4 linked regions of the Ovis aries genome follow. The protein of the gene in region 2 interacts with the protein of the main gene of each other region in a pairwise test. Links are inferred from orthologs where the notes say so. Each region holds a gene or a part of one and is shown on either strand. Other genes may lie near its edges.

Evidence for each region.
Region 1: the proteins of LZTS2 (region 2) and NEK6 interact in binary tests that used the Homo sapiens proteins (3 or more experiments, as listed by UniProt). The two-hybrid records come from large-scale screens. The link is inferred for Ovis aries from reciprocal best matches to the Homo sapiens genes LZTS2 and NEK6.
Region 3: the proteins of LZTS2 (region 2) and ATPAF2 interact in binary tests that used the Homo sapiens proteins (3 or more experiments, as listed by UniProt). The two-hybrid records come from large-scale screens. The link is inferred for Ovis aries from reciprocal best matches to the Homo sapiens genes LZTS2 and ATPAF2.
Region 4: the proteins of LZTS2 (region 2) and PQBP1 interact in binary tests that used the Homo sapiens proteins (3 or more experiments, as listed by UniProt). The two-hybrid records come from large-scale screens. The link is inferred for Ovis aries from reciprocal best matches to the Homo sapiens genes LZTS2 and PQBP1.

What each region holds. Positions count from the first base shown.
Region 1 is NC_056056.1:11,541,380-11,545,525, forward strand, and holds the start of NEK6 (serine/threonine-protein kinase Nek6), read right to left. Parts: upstream 2,801-4,146; 5' UTR 1-2,800. UniProt on the Homo sapiens protein: Protein kinase which plays an important role in mitotic cell cycle progression. Required for chromosome segregation at metaphase-anaphase transition, robust mitotic spindle formation and cytokinesis.
Region 2 is NC_056075.1:21,599,785-21,603,284, forward strand, and holds part of LZTS2 (leucine zipper putative tumor suppressor 2), read left to right. Parts: exon of another isoform or gene 1-140; intron 141-2,305; 5' UTR 2,306-2,347; coding exon 2,348-2,755; intron 2,756-3,373; coding exon 3,374-3,500. UniProt on the Homo sapiens protein: Negative regulator of katanin-mediated microtubule severing and release from the centrosome. Required for central spindle formation and the completion of cytokinesis.
Region 3 is NC_056064.1:34,270,544-34,274,746, forward strand, and holds the start of ATPAF2 (ATP synthase mitochondrial F1 complex assembly factor 2), read left to right. Parts: upstream 1-1,403; 5' UTR 1,404-1,575; coding exon 1,576-1,708; intron 1,709-4,203. Other genes in the region: GID4 (glucose-induced degradation protein 4 homolog), read right to left, coding at 795-983. UniProt on the Homo sapiens protein: Plays a role in the assembly of the F1 component of the mitochondrial ATP synthase (ATPase).
Region 4 is NC_056080.1:56,175,740-56,179,689, reverse strand, and holds the start of PQBP1 (polyglutamine-binding protein 1), read left to right. Parts: upstream 1-1,150; 5' UTR 1,151-1,300; intron 1,301-1,462; exon of another isoform or gene 1,463-1,561; intron 1,562-1,675; exon of another isoform or gene 1,676-1,694; 5' UTR 1,695-1,712; coding exon 1,713-1,779; intron 1,780-3,156; exon of another isoform or gene 3,157-3,518; coding exon 3,519-3,630; exon of another isoform or gene 3,631-3,950. Other genes in the region: TIMM17B (mitochondrial import inner membrane translocase subunit Tim17-B), read right to left, coding at 1-60, 934-959. UniProt on the Homo sapiens protein: Intrinsically disordered protein that acts as a scaffold, and which is involved in different processes, such as pre-mRNA splicing, transcription regulation, innate immunity and neuron development.

The sequences.
Region 1 (4,146 bases), on a different chromosome or scaffold from region 2:
CACGGAGAATCCGGAACATCTGCACCAAGAGCAGGCGGTCGTTCAACAAACACGCTCGCAGCCACCACCACGCCACTGCTCTATTCCTGGGAGCAGGAAAAATCCTGAATCCACTCATCTGAGGTCTCATGTCTCACCAGAGACCTAAGAATAACCCCCCAAAGAATCCACCAGCCCACTTTCTGTGCTTGAAAGCAGAAGGACAGGAAACTGAGGCTTGGAACAGAGAAGTAAGGGGCCCAAGGACCTTCAATCATTTGTTCATTCAACCAGCAGGTACTGGAACCAGTGCAACCTCAGTGGGGCTCTCCATTTAGAGAGAGAGAGGAGTCTCACAAGCCAATGCACCTACAAGCCAGTGTGACTGCTGCTTTGCACACCAAGAGTGTGGAAACACAAGGAAGTGTCTCGCAGTCTGCCCGAAGAATGGGGTGTTGTTTCTTCAGAAGAGGAAGCTGCTCTGAGCAGAGGAGCAGCGGGAGGGCGCTCCAGGCAGATGGCACAGCCTGTGCAAAGGCCTGGAAGCTGGATGGGCCCAGCATTAGGTGTGGGACAGAGGCCCTAACAACAGCTGTAGCCTCAGCTCTGCAAATGGGCAGGTAAGTGGGAAGAGCGACCCTGAGCACAGAGAGCCAATAAGGCATGCAAAGCCAGCACCAGAACTCGGGTCTCCAGGCTCCTCTTCCAGGCTCTTTTGCACACTCTGCCACCCTTGGTACCAAGTTGAGGTATGAGTTTACTCAATGAGTTACCTGATGAATGAAAGCCTCCATCAAAGTTCAGCAGCATCAAGCCTCCGCCAGCTACATGTACGCTGACCTCCCCACCCCTGCCTTGGTCATCTCCGGTGACCATTACAGACAGGAGGAAGGAAATGCCTACAGAATCTCCCTCTCGAGAGACCCTTCTGGGGCCGTAATTCAGGAGGGCCACAGAGTGTACATTCTGGGCTCCGAGACATGCTCTCCTATTTGCTGAGTATTCACTGAGCACCGAGCCTGGTGCCAGGCTCTGTGCTAGGCACCAGAAAGATTCGCAAAAGGTGGTTACAAACTCTCATACAGCGTTCCCTAATTCAGAAACGGGCCCGGCTGGAAACTCTACTATCGCCCGGGAGAGGCCAAGAGAGATGCAGAGAGGCCCAGGATTTGCTTGCTCAAGATCACTTGGCCAGGAGGTGTCAGGCTGGGACGTGTCTCCGGAAACGACTGGTCACAGGGCTTTTGCCAAAAGAGATAAGAGTTCCCGGGGAAACAAAGGAGCCTGGGATCCCTCCTTCATGCCCTGCGGGCTGCCCTTTACCCACACAGCAGGCGGAGGCCAAACTGGCAGGCACCACCCAGAATGGCAGGGCCCTGTCATACTGGGAGGGGCCCCTCTCCCTGCCGGGGGAGCCCGGCCACGGCTGGCGGCTCGTGCAAGAGGAGCGGCTCTTGGCTCTAAGCTACCTGGGCTGGTGCCACCGAAGGACTAAGTGCTTGTGGCCAGCGAGTCCAGGATGCAGAGCCCTGGGGTCAGCGAGCCCCTGCCTGGGTCCCCGCCTGGGTCCCTCAGTCCATACAGTGAGGGGTTATGACCCTCCTTCCTGGACTGGGGTCCTTGTGCACATCTGTCTCCTCCGTGGGAATGCTGGCGGGACCCCTGGGTACCCTGGTTAACCCAATGCAAATGGCCGCAAACAGTCCAGAGGACTATGGCTCAGCTATGCCCACCCTCAGCCCTGTACCAGGTCAGACAGCATCCCTACAAAACTCACACAGGGTCTTTGAAGACGCAATCGAATTAAGATGAGGTCACACAGGATTAGGGTGGCCCTAAATCCAGTGGCTGGTATCTTTATAAGCAGAGGGAAACCTGAACTCAGAGACACACAGGGAAAAGGCCACGTGACGACAGAGTCAGAGATAGGAGGGGTGTGTGTATTCGCAAGGGAACACCAAGGACTGCTGGTGACCAGCAGAAGCTGGGAGCAAAGCACCCAACGGACTCACCCTCAGAGCCTTGATAAGGAACCAATGCTGCCAACACCTTGATTTTGGACCTCTGGGCTCCAGGACTGTGAGAGAATCAGTTTTTATTATTTCAGTCCACCCCACAGGCAGGGATTTGTCATGGCGGCTCAAGGAAACGAACATGCTCCCCGCCATCCCCCGCCCCCCCCCGCCCCCCCTCCAGCACAGCTGGCCTTCCATGTGCAGCTGAGGTTCCCTGGGTTCTCCAGGCATCGAAGACTCTTTCAGACTCAACTTCTGTTTCGGGTGCTTCAGAGGAAGTTAATTAGTGATGGGCTTCCCCTGTGGCTCAGCAGTAAAAAATCTGCCTCCAATGCAGGAGACGCAGGAGACATGGGTTCGATCCCTGGGTTGGGAAGATTCCTCTGGAGGAGGAAATGGCAAACCACTCCAGTATTCTTGCCTGGGAAATCCCATGCATGGAGGAGTCTGGTGGGCTACAGTCCAGGAGGTCATAAAGAGTCGGACACGACTGAGTAATTGAGCATGGGCCTAGGGCTTTCACAGGCCTGTAAAGATTCTCCCAAATTCTGAAGATGGACATAAGGTTGCCAGCGCTGTCTGACATCTAAAATACAATTTCTCTCTGTCGTCAGCATCCTGCATAAAAGGACACCCGACACAAGAAAGTTGCTGAGGCCAGGCCTGTCCTTAAGTTTCTCACGTCACCAAGGATCAGTGAGACAGCCTCACAGACCCAGACCTGGCCTGGGTCTGGGGTTTGGGAACCAAATTCCAGCTGCTGTGCCCCTCCTGGGTGACTTTTTTTAATCCCTGCTGAGGAAAAGGGAGGCTGGCCTCCTCCACTCTCCTCTGAGTACAAAAAGGAGGTTTCTCCATCTCAGAAACTTGACAAGTATATTCCAGTTAACCTGTGGGTAATTCCAGTTAATCTCCTCTGAGGACTCGGTGATCTCCCAGCCAGAGGGTGGAGGCATTCCGGGCCAGTCAATGAGGGAGGATCAAGAGGGAAAGAAAATAAAAGAGGAAAAAGGAGGAGGGAGAAGGAGAGAGAAGCACTGACCCTTCTTGTGAAAAGAAAACCGAATTGTGAAATTATGCAACGAGCAGACATCACGGGCCGGATGACTCCAGCCTTCCTCAAAGACACCTCGTAAACCCGCGCCCAGCCTTGGAGGGAGAGGCCAGATGCCTGGCGCTGCAGGAAGGGGCTTTCGAAACATCTGGCCCCAGGGGGTGGCCCGATGACCCAATGGAGGCCAGTCACCCTGAGCTCTGTGACCGCTGCACCCACGACTACCGCGTGGTGACCGGTGAGGTGCCCAGAAGAACCGCTGGGGATCACAAGCTGTCTGAGTTCAAGGAATGTTTCTTTTCCAGTAACTCGAGAGTGCTAATCCCATCTTAGAGATGCCCCCAACGCTGGGGAAACTTTCTGCCCCACCGTGCTGGGGTGGCCTTGCCTGGACAGTCTCAGGAACCTTAGATGATAAGGCCAGACGTCCTCGCCTTTCCAGGGCTGGCGTCCATCTCTCCCTCCCTCCCCTTCTACACGCCCAGGCCAGGGGCAGGGTGGGCCCCAGCTCTCAGGAAGCCAGGAAACACACTCTTTTCTGGGCTAAATGCCCAGATTCCTTGAGCAGTCACAGGACACGCTTTTTCTGAGCCGATCCAAAGCCACAGGCGCAGTCTGAAAGTTTCTTTGGGCGGCATGAACCTGCGGGCACCAAGGCACACCTGGAATTCCAGGCTGAAGGCTGGTCAGCAAGAGAGGCCCCAGCTGGGCAGGGGGTCCACGCTGCCTCGGCGGGTGACCAAGGGCACAGAGTTGTGCTCTGTGGGCCAAGAAAACGAGGTTCCTTCATTCCGTCATCATTTGCCAGGCTTTTCTTGAGAGACTCACGGAGCCAAGGGCTGTCTGAGGAGCAAAGCAGAGAGCCTTATCCCTCTAGAGGTGTGTGGTCAAGAGGTGGATCCAGACACAGCAGCAGACAGACACGGCCATTTCAGACTTAATAAGTGCTACGAGGGAAACACAGCTGAGGAGCGGGTTGGGGTGAAACAAATAAGGCTTCATGGGGTCGCTGGGACAATTAAATCAGATCGTGCAGCAAACTGCTTAGCAAATAATCGGTAGGGCAACCGAAGCCAGAAAGAGAAGGGCTGGAGCAGG
Region 2 (3,500 bases):
GTGAACTCCGGAGGGCGGATTGGGGGCTCCCGGCTTCCTGTCTTGTAATGGAAACTCGTGATCTCAGACTTGATCCCGCTGGATGGTCCTGGAGTTTGGTGAGGGGGAGACTTTCCCGAACTCCTCTGCCCCCGAAACAGGTCTGTGGGAAACTCGGACCTCGGCCAGACCTCCCTCGGGCCCCGGCTGCATCCAGCCCTCAACCGCCCCCGGCCCACCGAGCCGGGCAGTGTGTGCTGTGCCAGAGCGGTTTCCCAAGGATGTTGGGGAGTGCGAGGGGTTCCCGTCTCACAGCCACAAACGCATTTCTCAAAATGGAGCCTCCACTTGCCCCTCCTTTTCTCTCGGGCTCCAAGAGCGGGAGCCAGACTGGCTGGGCCTGGCTTTCCAGGCGCCTGGCTTTGGCTCCGTGGGTGTCTGGCGCTCAGGGCCCAGCTCAGCGTCTCTTCTCGGTTTAGGGGCCCCTGGCTTCGCGGGGACCCCGGCTCACTGGGTCCGCCAGGCCCTGGAGCCGCTCTTCGTCTTTGTCTCCTGTCCTTTGGGTCCCTGTCTGAATCTCTCTGTCTCCTCCCCTCAGTTTCCACTCTGTGCTCACTGAAGTGGGGAAACACACCGAGGTGCCAGCCCTCTTGGCCTCTTAGGGAAGCCCCTTCCCCACGGTTTCCTGCATGTCCTGGGTGGTCTGGGAGAGGGCAGAGGAGGGGGTGTTCTATCAGCTTTGCTCAGGACTGGCACTTGTGGGGTGGACTCAGTCCCCACCCCTGCTCCGAGGGCACCAGTCACCCCCACCCCTGGCTCCCAGCTCCTCCTCCCTCAGTCTGGACACCTTCCTCCAGATCTTTTGACTTGAGCGGGAAGGTGGGGGAGGGTGGACTTAACGAACACAAGCAAGAATGAAGGAGAGCAGATCAAGCAAAGAATAATGTGTCTCTCCTCTCCACACACTCCAGTGAGTGACAAAAACCAGGCTCCCACTCACTCATTTGGCCCTGCGTGCCACCCAGACTCTCACCCTCTCACATGCACACACAACACTCTGTACACACTTGTGCACTATTTCCTGTTCACACGCTTGTGTAGGATACATAAACTCGTGTATATATGAATGGACATCAAACCATTCTCTGACATAGTCACACTCATACATCACAGATTCACTAATGTATGCATTTATAATTTTCAGATACTTTCTGAGAGAGCTGCACAGATTTTTGTAAGGTATGCCCATATGAGTTCATGTATATATACATGTATATATCTGAATGTATTGATACATCTATCCAAACATACGTGTACTCACATACACTCATGTTTTCACACACAGTGCTCATGTTCATGTTCTTGTGCACAGTTTCACACACACAAATAAGTAAAATGCATACACTCCTACTCCTACGCAGTTCTCTGTCCACTTCTTGGCCCCCGCTCTGCATGATGACTTCAGCAGATGCCTGAGCCCTGGTCTTCAGCCTCAGGACTAGGGAGGGAGTTCCGGGTGGAGGCTTGCTATCCCCTTCCAGGAAGAGCAGGGCCTGGGAAGGTGGAGCTCTCTTCCCTGGAGCAGCTGCCAGAGGTGATGGTAGAGCCTCTATTCTCATCCCTTTGGATTTACTCTGGGGAATGTCGAAAGCTAAAAGGTTTCATAGAGGTTGGCAATGGGCCTGTGGAGGCTTCTTTAGGCCTGACTGACTGGGTGCGGTGAGGCTAGGAATTGTCATGGAAATAGGCATGAGCCTACATCCACCTCTGGGAGGCAGGAGACCCCAGAGGGCACCTGTGGGTTCCCTGAGAGCTCTGGTTCTTGTTTGACCAGCTCCACCCTTGCCGCCTCTCTGTCTGGGAGAAACTGAGGCCCAGCTGGGTGAGGCTGGGCACTGCCTGACCTTAGCTCTTTGTTCCCTAATTACCATTTTGAGCTGCAGACTGCACCCCTGAGTTTGCCCAGACTGCATCTAATGAGTCCACCTGTCCCAGTGGAACAGGGACCAGTGCCAGGAGCTGGTACAGAGGGCTTCCTCCCTGATTCCTGGCCTCTGTGGGACCCCCATTCCCTCATCATCCCTGCTTGATAGATTCAGTCCTTAGCCCTATTCAGACCAGAATTGGGCAGTGGTCTGGGGCCCAGGGAGGATGGAGGTTCTTGCCAAGATGCAAGAGGGGATGTGTTAGGGGGAGGATATCAGTGCTTTTCACTGATGTTGGGTGGGCCGTTTGACCAGAGACTAAGGACCAGGAGGGACTCAGGACTTCACACAGGAAGGGAGCTCACGATGGAGAGACTCTGATGCCACTTCCCTGCTCACAGGTTTCCCTGGAGGCCCCTGGCCAGGCCTGAGCCTCTGCCGCCATGGCCATTGTGCAGACACTGCCAGTGCCCCTGGAACCCGCTCCTGAGGCCGCTACCGCCCCACAAGCTCCAGCCATGGGCAGCGTGAGCAGCCTCATCTCAGGCCGGCCCTGCCCCGGGGGGCCGGCTCCTCCTCGCCACCATGGTCCCCCTGGACCCACCTTCTTCCGCCAGCAGGATGGGCTGCTGCGGGGTGGCTACGAGGCACAGGAGCCACTGTGCCCAGCTGTGCCCCCCAGGAAGGCTGTCCCTGGTACCAACTTTACCTACATCAACGAGGACTTCCGGACAGAGTCACCCCCCAGCCCAAGCAGTGACCTTGAAGATGCCCGAGAGCAGCGGGCACGCAATGCTCACCTCCGTGGTCCCCCACCAAAGCTCATCCCTGTCTCTGGAAAGCTAGAGAAGGTGAGGACCAGCCCTTCTTTTGAGGGTCTGGGTGGAATCAGAGGTCCCCTGGAGAAGCTGAAATTTGGAGACCTATTTATAGGAAGGAGTGTGGGCTCCAGATTCACCAGACTTGGGTTCTTATCCCAGCTCTACCTCACTCAGGGACATCATTTAACCTTTCTGAGCCTCAGTTTCTGTGTTTGTAAAATGGAGGTAACAGGTCAATTCTCATAGGATTGTTGTGAGAATTAAATCAAATAATATGTGTAAAGTGTTTAGCATAGTGCCTGGCACATAATAGGTACTCAATAAATGTTAGCTTCTTAGAAATACTGTTTTAAATAGCTAGTGTGTGTTTGCATTTGTGCAAAGCCTGTAACTCCCTCAGCCTCCATTTCCTCATCTATGTATGCAATAGCGATGATATTTTGCTTGCATGGATTTTGTAATGACCTGAGAGGTACATTTTAAGTTGCCTGACGTAAGTAAAGCTGACACAGGGGGCCCTCAGCCAGTGGTAGCAATTGTTATTACTATATGGGGACTGGGGGCCCTGGATGGGAGGGCAGGGAGTGTGATAAGGGCTTCAAGAGATTGGGCGGCTCATCCCTATTGTCAAATGGCACCTCATTTCAGAACATGGAGAAAATTGTGATCCGCCCAACAGCCTTCAAGCCAGTGCTGCCCAAACCTCGAGGGGTACCATCCCTACCTAGCTTCCTGGGTCCTCGGGCCACCGGACCGTCGGGGAGCCAAGGCAGCC
Region 3 (4,203 bases), on a different chromosome or scaffold from region 2:
TCAGAAATCCAGGTCAGATGGGGGGAGGAAATACCATATGAGAAATAAAAGTGGGTGAGTTACATTTCCTAGCATGAGTATCAGAGACTACAAAGGAAGCCCTGACATGTGGATCAAAGTTAAAAATACAGTAAGAGGGTCCCCTAGAGCCAGGAAGGAGGAGAACAGAGAGATGGGGAGGTCTGGGCAGACAGATGGACAGAACAGGAGTGGACTGGAAGTGGAAAGAGGGTGGGGAGTAGGGAGTGTCAAGAGTCTGAGCCAGGAAGAGACTATGGGTTGGGGGCTAGGAGATCAGCTTCTAACAGACTGTGAGGAGCCCACTTAGGATGTGAGTGCCCAGGCTAAGGAATGGGCCAGCAGTCCAGGTGGGATGGGGGCCCTCAGGTCCCGGGGCTGATGGAGAGAGGAGGCGGATGAAGCTCTGCCGGGGAGGAAACCCCCGGAGAAGGAGGCGGGTCCCAGGGCCTGGGGTTCATGGGACCGAGGAAAACGTGGGAGGCAGCAGGCACGTCTAGGGCCTGGGAGCGTCCAGAGTCAGAGGGAATCCCTGGAGAGTTTCCCGGACGGGGTCCGAGAGGGACTGAAAGAAAGACTGTTGCCGGGGCGACAGGCCACGGGGAGGCAGGGCCGGATCTGAGGCGGCCGGTCCCCGGCTCGGGCCCGCAGGGTTGGGGTGCGCCGGAGGGCCCCCGGCAGGCCCGGGCAGCAGGCCCGTCCGTGGCCGCGGGCCCCAGGGGGCGGCGGCGTGGCCCGGTCCGTGGACGTCTCGAGAGGCCGGGCCGCCGGCTCACCTGCAGCACTACCTCCACGTCGTACGAGTTCCCCTTGCTCTTCTGGTGGCCGCGGAACTTGGAGCCGCTGTAGAGCAGGCTGGTGGCCACGCCGGGCTGCTGCGTGTTGATAGGCGGCGGCGGGATGAGCGAGGCGGCGGAGGCGGCCGAGGCACCGGCCGGCGGGGGACACTCGGTGCGGACCGGCATCGCGGGGTCCCCCGGAGCCAGGGCTGGGGGAGGGGGAGGAACCGCCGCCGCCGCGCGGAAGCCGAGGGCAGACGGAGGAGAAGCCGGCGCGCGCGTAGGGCGGGAGGGGTCCACCCGCCGGCCGCAAGCAGATCGAGCGCTCCGGCCACCACCGGGACCCCGGGACCTGCGAGCAGGGCCTCCGGGTCCTGAGCGAACCCCCTCCCCGCCTGCGCTCGCACACACACCCCTTCCGATTGGCTCGGGCGCGCTGAGGGGCGGGATCAGGCTGGCTCGGCGATTCCGCCCATTGGCGGGCGGGGAAAGCACGTGGCGGGAGCCGAGGCCCTCTGGTACTTGTAGTCTTTTTCCCGAGGCGCGGCGCGGGGGCGGGGCCGGGGCGTTTGTGATGCTGATTGGCTGCGGCGTGCGCTGAGGCGCGCGGCGGCGGCGCGCTACGAGTGTCGTGCGCAACATGGCGGCGCCCCAAAAGGGAGAGGGTGCCGGCGACTGGTGAGGAGGTTTGTGGAGTTCGAGCACACGGCGTGTGGTCCCTCCGCTCCTTTTCCCCGAGCTCTGGTTTCGAGCGGTCGTTCTCTGAGGCCCCCGCGCGATGTGGAGGAGCTGCCTTCGGCTGCGGGATGGGGGGCGTCGCCTCCTGAACCGGCCCCGAAGTGGCCTCACCGCCTCCGAGGGGCTGGGGCGAAAGCCCCCTATCCCCTTCCGGGCCTACGTGCCCCCGGCAGGTGAGAGAGGCCAGGGCGGAGCAGGCTGAGGGGTCGGCCATGCAGGGTCACACGGTGGGAGGGAAGTTCCCCGCGAGGGCAGGGATCGCTCCAGGGCACACGCGCGTCGTTTCCTTTTGGCAGGTGCGGTTTTTCTCTCTTTCACTGGGGAAGCAGAGGTCATCCTTATTTTCAGGCGGGGAAATTCGACTTCTGGGTCGGGATTGCGCTAGAGGCGCGAAGCAGACTCAGAGGTTTGCGGGGCAAAGGCCAGTCTGCTAGGCTGCTTTCTGTGTCCCCGCGACCGGCACTGAAGGGGCCTGAAGCTCGGGCTTTAAGTCTTCCATCCCGGCCGCTTGCTCCACAGCTGTCCTGGCCCTGCCTCCTGCTGCCCTCCCAGAACACCTGCCACCTCTTCTAAGGAGTTGACACCCCGTGCCCCCTTCCTGCACTTCCGACTCGGATGAGGCTTTCTGTAGCGGATCTTTCTTACTCCTAGGCAAAGATTTTGGGATAAGAGTGGGACTGACTTTAAGTGAGTGAAGACAGTAACGCTTTCTTTCCTGCCAGTTAGTACTGTGCTGAAGGTGGGGGTGAGGAGAAGGTCACTGCGGTGTTGGAGCTGTTCCGAGGTCGCCCGTGTGGCCTCCAGTCCCCTACCAGCTGTCCCAGCCATCAGCTGCATAGAGAAGAAAGGTCTTCAGAGAGCCTGCCTGTCCAGCTGAGGAGTACACCGGTGAAGTCAAAGCTGGGGGTCTCTGCTTACAAGTTGTCTTGTCTGCACAAGTGGTTTAGCGTCTCATTGTCTGCCTCCTCTAAAGAGACAGCTTGTGCTGGATTGAGGGAGATGCTGTAGATAGGGAGGCCAGCCTGCCACCTGTTTTTGTAAATAGTTTTCCAGGAACCCAGGCCCGCTCATTCACTGACACACACCTAAGGCTGTTTTCACTACAGTGCAGAGTTGGCTGGTTGTGCCAGACACTGGATGGCCTGCAAAGCTTAAAACACTTTGGCTTTTTACAGAAAAAGTTTGCCAGCAGTGCTGTGGATGCTAGAGCGGTTTTGGGGAAAAGTGTTTAGTCATCTGGCCCGTTTATAGTAATTGCTGTGGTAGATACACTTGCCCTGAAGAATTTTAAAACAGCCTTACTGAGATGATGCATTTAGAATTCACTCACTTAGATTGTACAGTTTAATGGTCCCTAATGGCTCAGATGGTAAAGAATCCACCCTTGTTGCGGGAGACCTGGGTTCAATCCCTGGGTTGGGAAGATCCCCTGGAGGAAGGGCATGGCTACCCACTCCAGTATTCTTGCCTGGAGAATCCCTGTGGACAGAGGAGCCTGGCGGGTTACAGTCCATGGGGTTGCAGAGTCGGACATACTGAGCGACTAAGCACAGTATACTCAGAGTTCTGCTGCCATCAGTTCTGGAACCTTCTTATGACACCAAAGGATCCCTGTACCCATTAGCTGCCACTCTGAGTATCCCCCTGCCCCACCCCATCCCTCCAGCCCTAGACAACCACTACTTCACTCTCTATGAAGTCAAGTCGCTCAGCCGTGTCCGACTCTTTGCGACCCTGTGGACGGTCGCCTACCAGGCTCCTCCCTCCATGGGATTCTCCAGGCAAGAGTACTGGAGTGGGTTGCCATTTCCTTCTCCAGGGGGTCTTCCTGACCCAGGGATTGAACCGGGGTCTCCCGCATTGCAGGCAGATGCTTTAACCTGTGAGCCACCAGAGATCTGTATCTATAGATTTCCCTATTTTGGACATTTCATATAAATGGAATGTGGTCTTTTTCTCCATTTAGCGTATATCCAAGGTTCGTCCTGGCTTCCCTGGTGGCTCAGACGGTAAAGCATCTGCCTACAATGCAGGAGACCCTGGTTCGATCTCTGGGTCCGGAAGATCCTCTGGAGAAGGAAATGGCAACCCACTCCAGTACTCTTGCCTGGAAAATCCCATGGACGGAGGAGCCTGGTAGGCTACAGTCTACGGGGTTGCAAAGAGTCGGACACGACTGAGCACCTTCACTTTCACTTTCACAAGGTTTGTCCTAGAGTTAGCGCATGTCAGTACTTCATTCTTTTTCATAACTGGTAATATTCAGTTTTGGGGACACACCATGTCTTATTTACCCAGTCAGTCATTGATGAACATTTGGGTGGTTTTCATCATTTGACTGTTCTGAATGCCTTTGTAAACACTTGAATACAGGTTTTTGTGTGAGAATGTGTTTTCGTTTCTCATAGGAGGTACCTAAAAATAAATAGGACGTCCCCAGTGGCTCAGGGTTAAAGAATACACCTGCAAGGCAGGAGACCCGGCTTTGATTCGTGGGTCAGGAAGAGCCCTTGGAGAAGGGAATGGCAACCCACTCCAGTATTCTTGGCTAGAGAATTCCATGGACAGAAAAGCCTGGTGGACTGCAGTCCATAGGGTCACAAAGAGTTGGACACAACTAAAGCAATTTAGCACACACGCAAGAGCAGACTTGCTGGATCAAACGGTA
Region 4 (3,950 bases), on a different chromosome or scaffold from region 2:
CCACCGCCGATAACACCCATAGTGAAGGCTCCACCGCAATCATCCACAATTCGCCATGGGCTGCAAGCGGGAAGGGGAGGATGAGGTTAATGTGAGCGCTCCCTCATGCCAAGTCACAAGATCTCTTTCCAACTGGGAGCAATACGTCACCCAAATGAGAACTAGCACTTCAGATAATACTGGGATTATTTCTCCCCTCATTTAAGCAAAAAATAATGTGAAGAGGGGAAAACATCAGTCTTGGCCCTGTCCGCCCCTCCCCTTCACAGCCAACCAGGGAATCAACCAACTGGTTGACTACTGTCAAAGATTAAATGAATTAATGAGAGGGCATTAATTAAAGAATTGGCACGTTTGAATTACGCTACAGGTGTTGCAGGCACTGTTCCTTAAGCAGAATGGGGTAGCACCCCTTTTTCCGATAATGAGCACGTCCAACAAAGCCACGTCCTCTTCCCTTTTCACCCTCGCACAACTGGGGAAAATCAAGCACATAGAGTGCGGAGGACCCATCACCCCTCCATGACCACAATCATGGTCAGGCTCATCCAGGCCCCGCCAGCATTAACCAAAGCGACCTGGGAAAAACCATGCGTTTTTCCAGGGGATACCCGCTCAACACCGCACCACCCCCTGGCTGGAATGGATTCGACCAGCGTGTCTTTAACAGAGGGGCTGGGAGGTACGGAATCAAGGAAAACGTGGAGTGGTCCGTCCTGCACCAAACCTTCTTCTGCAGGCACACAATTGTGGCCCCTTTTAACGGAGCCCGAGTAAGAGAAACCAAGTGGAGAGGAGCAGAAGACAACAAAAATCTAAATGTGTTCCGAGTCTGGGACGTGGCGCTGTGTGGCCCGTGCCTCCCCCACCCGCCTCCCACCGCTGGCCGTGGCGCCGCAGCAACAGTCCCGACACCTATGCCCCTCGCTGTACCAAGGTTCCCGAGCATACTCCTCCATGGCGCCGGCGTCCGGCCGCGCAGTATCGCTAAACCCTGGCCGGGCCACACCTCCACTGGAAACGTATACAAGCGCCCGAGCTTTCCACCTATCCCAGGGCAACGGTTCTGTTGTTTCGCCAGACTTCAGATCAAAGCGCATTCTCATTGGCTAGGTAGGTTTGCGTCATCTTTTCACTGCGTGAGCGTCGTGCAGTTACGTCTAAGCTCGGGGAGAGAGAAACTCATTCTGTGCTTTGGGAGAAGAGAGTCGTGTGGTCCTGGCGCTCATAGAGACGACGAGAGAGAGGTGGCCAGTTGGAAAGTCGTCCACTACTTGCGTGACTGTATTGGTAATTTGGGGTGGGTGCATTTTTTGGAGCTGGAGGAGGTGTTACACTGTGCTCCCCCATCCCAACGCTTTGGTTCCTCCCACCCAGCAGTCTTTGGGGGACGTTGGGTGAAACCATTTTGGGTAGTGGGGGAGCCGCGCATGGCCCCTTGGGCTGGGCGGAGCCTGGGCCTAGGACGGGAACCCGGTGCTGCAGCCACTGGCCTGGGAGAGCGGAGTTGGTGAGAGTGTTGGTGATATTGCTGTTTACAACCCCTTCCACCTTTCAGCGGGTAGGGTCTATTTCCCTCCTAGTGTAGATGGGGGTCCAGATTGAGTACATGCTGCGGGGAGGCCCTTGGTTACTCTTGTAACCAGATTCAGTCCTCATCTGAGCTGTTTTTCAGGCTGTCTGTCCTTCCGTAGGCCTGTCTGCCATCCGCTATGCCGCTGCCTGTTGCGTTGCAGACCCGCTTGGCCAAGAGAGGCATCCTCAAACATTTGGAGCCTGGTGAGAGAACTAAGAGAAGAGAGGCCTACCATGTGCCCGACTTGACAGGCACTTTGTTGCGGATACTGCCGCTTGATATCTAGCATGGGCCTATTGTGCACCAAGCAGTGGGGTGGCAGGCATTTCCTTGTTAACAATACGTGTTGAAAGTGAAAGAAAGTGAAAGTGAAGTCGCTCGGTCGTGTCCGACTCTTTGCGACCCCGTGGACTGTAGCCTACGAGGCTCCTCCGTCCATGGAATTCTCCAGGCAAGAATACTTGGACGGGAGTGGGTTGCCATTTCCTTCTCCAGGGGAATCTTCCCTACCCAGGGATCGAACCCGGGTCTCCCGCATTGCGGGCAGATGCTTTAACCTCTGAGCTACCAGGGATTCCCAACAATACGTGTTACTGACCCCTATTCCTGTCCTATGAGGAGGAGGGGAGGTGGGGTATGGAATAGACATTTCGTCCTTAACACTGACAGTTGATGTGTATTTTGGGGTCTTCTGTAGCCAAAGTTTAACCCATCAGTTAATTCCTGGAAGTATAATAAGGATAGTAATAGTAAGCTGACACCTATGGCAGCCTCCTGTCGGCCAAGTATAGTCGCAGGGTGCTGATACTTTGTTCTGTAACATACTAGTAGATAACATTATTTCAGACCTGCTGTGGAACTAGGCACTGTGTGAGTTGTCCATACCTTATTGTTCACCATGTCAATAGCTGACATGTATTTTGAGTCTTCTTAAGTGCTTATCATACACTGTGGTTAACAGTATATAAAGTAATGATAGGATCTATCATTTAGGCCTACTGTGCTGCTGTTGCTAGTATTTATACCTTATTTATCAATAATAGTAAAAGCTGGCATCTATTTTGGGCTAAGGTGTGCCAGGTACTAGAAAACTCATCTTATTTTCACTTTATTGATAAGTGACACCTATTACAAGCCTGTTGTATGCCAAAGATCTTTGGTTATTAATAATATTGATAATGATACTGATATGGTATTTATTTTAAGGCTGTTTGCTACCAGGCCCTGTACTAACTGTATGTATCTTACTAACAATATTAATGATTGTAGCTGACATCTATTTGGGGCCTATTGTGTGACAGGCACTATGCTGTTGCTGACATATACATTTAATTGTTAACTATATCCATGGGTGAAATCTGTGATAGGACTACTGAGGTCCAAGTACTCATACACCTTTCTTTATTCTGTTGATAGTAACTGACAACTATTGCAGGCATCAGGAACTGAACAGATTCAGAGAAGTGTTTGGATAAATCCCTTGCTGTCCAAACTTGCTAGTCAATATATAGGAGTCAGAAACCCCATATTTGCCAGCCGTGGAAGCTGAATAGATTTGGACATATTTTTAGGTAAACCCCTTGCTGTTGAAACTCATTTTATTCAAATTTGCATAATACAGTGTCACATACTATTTGAACTCAGAAGCTGAATAAATATGGATACTTTTTAAAAAAAATGTATCCCTGTCTAAAGTATGAAACCAGATAAGTTTGGGTAGTAGTACCCGTAAACAGATTTGAGTAAATTTTTTTGGTAAATCCTGATATTCAGATACTTGGATTTGGAACATGAGCAGTATTTGCTCTGGCATGTGAGACCTGGCATGCACACACACACACACAGTCCACGTGAATGTGAGTGTGTCTCTCCAGGCCCTGATTGCAGGATGGGAATCTCCCTGGTTCTTACTGCTGTCCTCTTCCCTTCCTTGTCCTGCCAGAACCAGAGGAAGAGATCATTGCTGAGGACTATGATGACGATCCTGTGGACTATGAGGCTACCCGGTTGGAGGGCCTGCCACCAAGCTGGTACAAGGTGTTTGACCCTTCCTGGTGAGCCTGACGACATGCGGGTGGGGAGGGAGAGCTAACTTCTGACTTCACCCTTCCTGTGAAGGGTTCAGTTCAGTTCAGTCACTCAGTCATGTCCGACTCTTTGTGACCCCATGAATCACAGCACACCAGGCCTCCCTGTCCATCACCAACTCCCAGAGTTCACTCAAACTGATGTCCATCGAGTCAGTGATGCCATCCAGCCATCTCATCCTCTGTCGTCCCCTTCTCCTCCTGCCCCCAATCCCTCCCAGCATCAGAGTCCTTTTCAATGAGTCAACACTTTGCATGAGATGGCCAAAGTATTAGGGTTTCAGCTT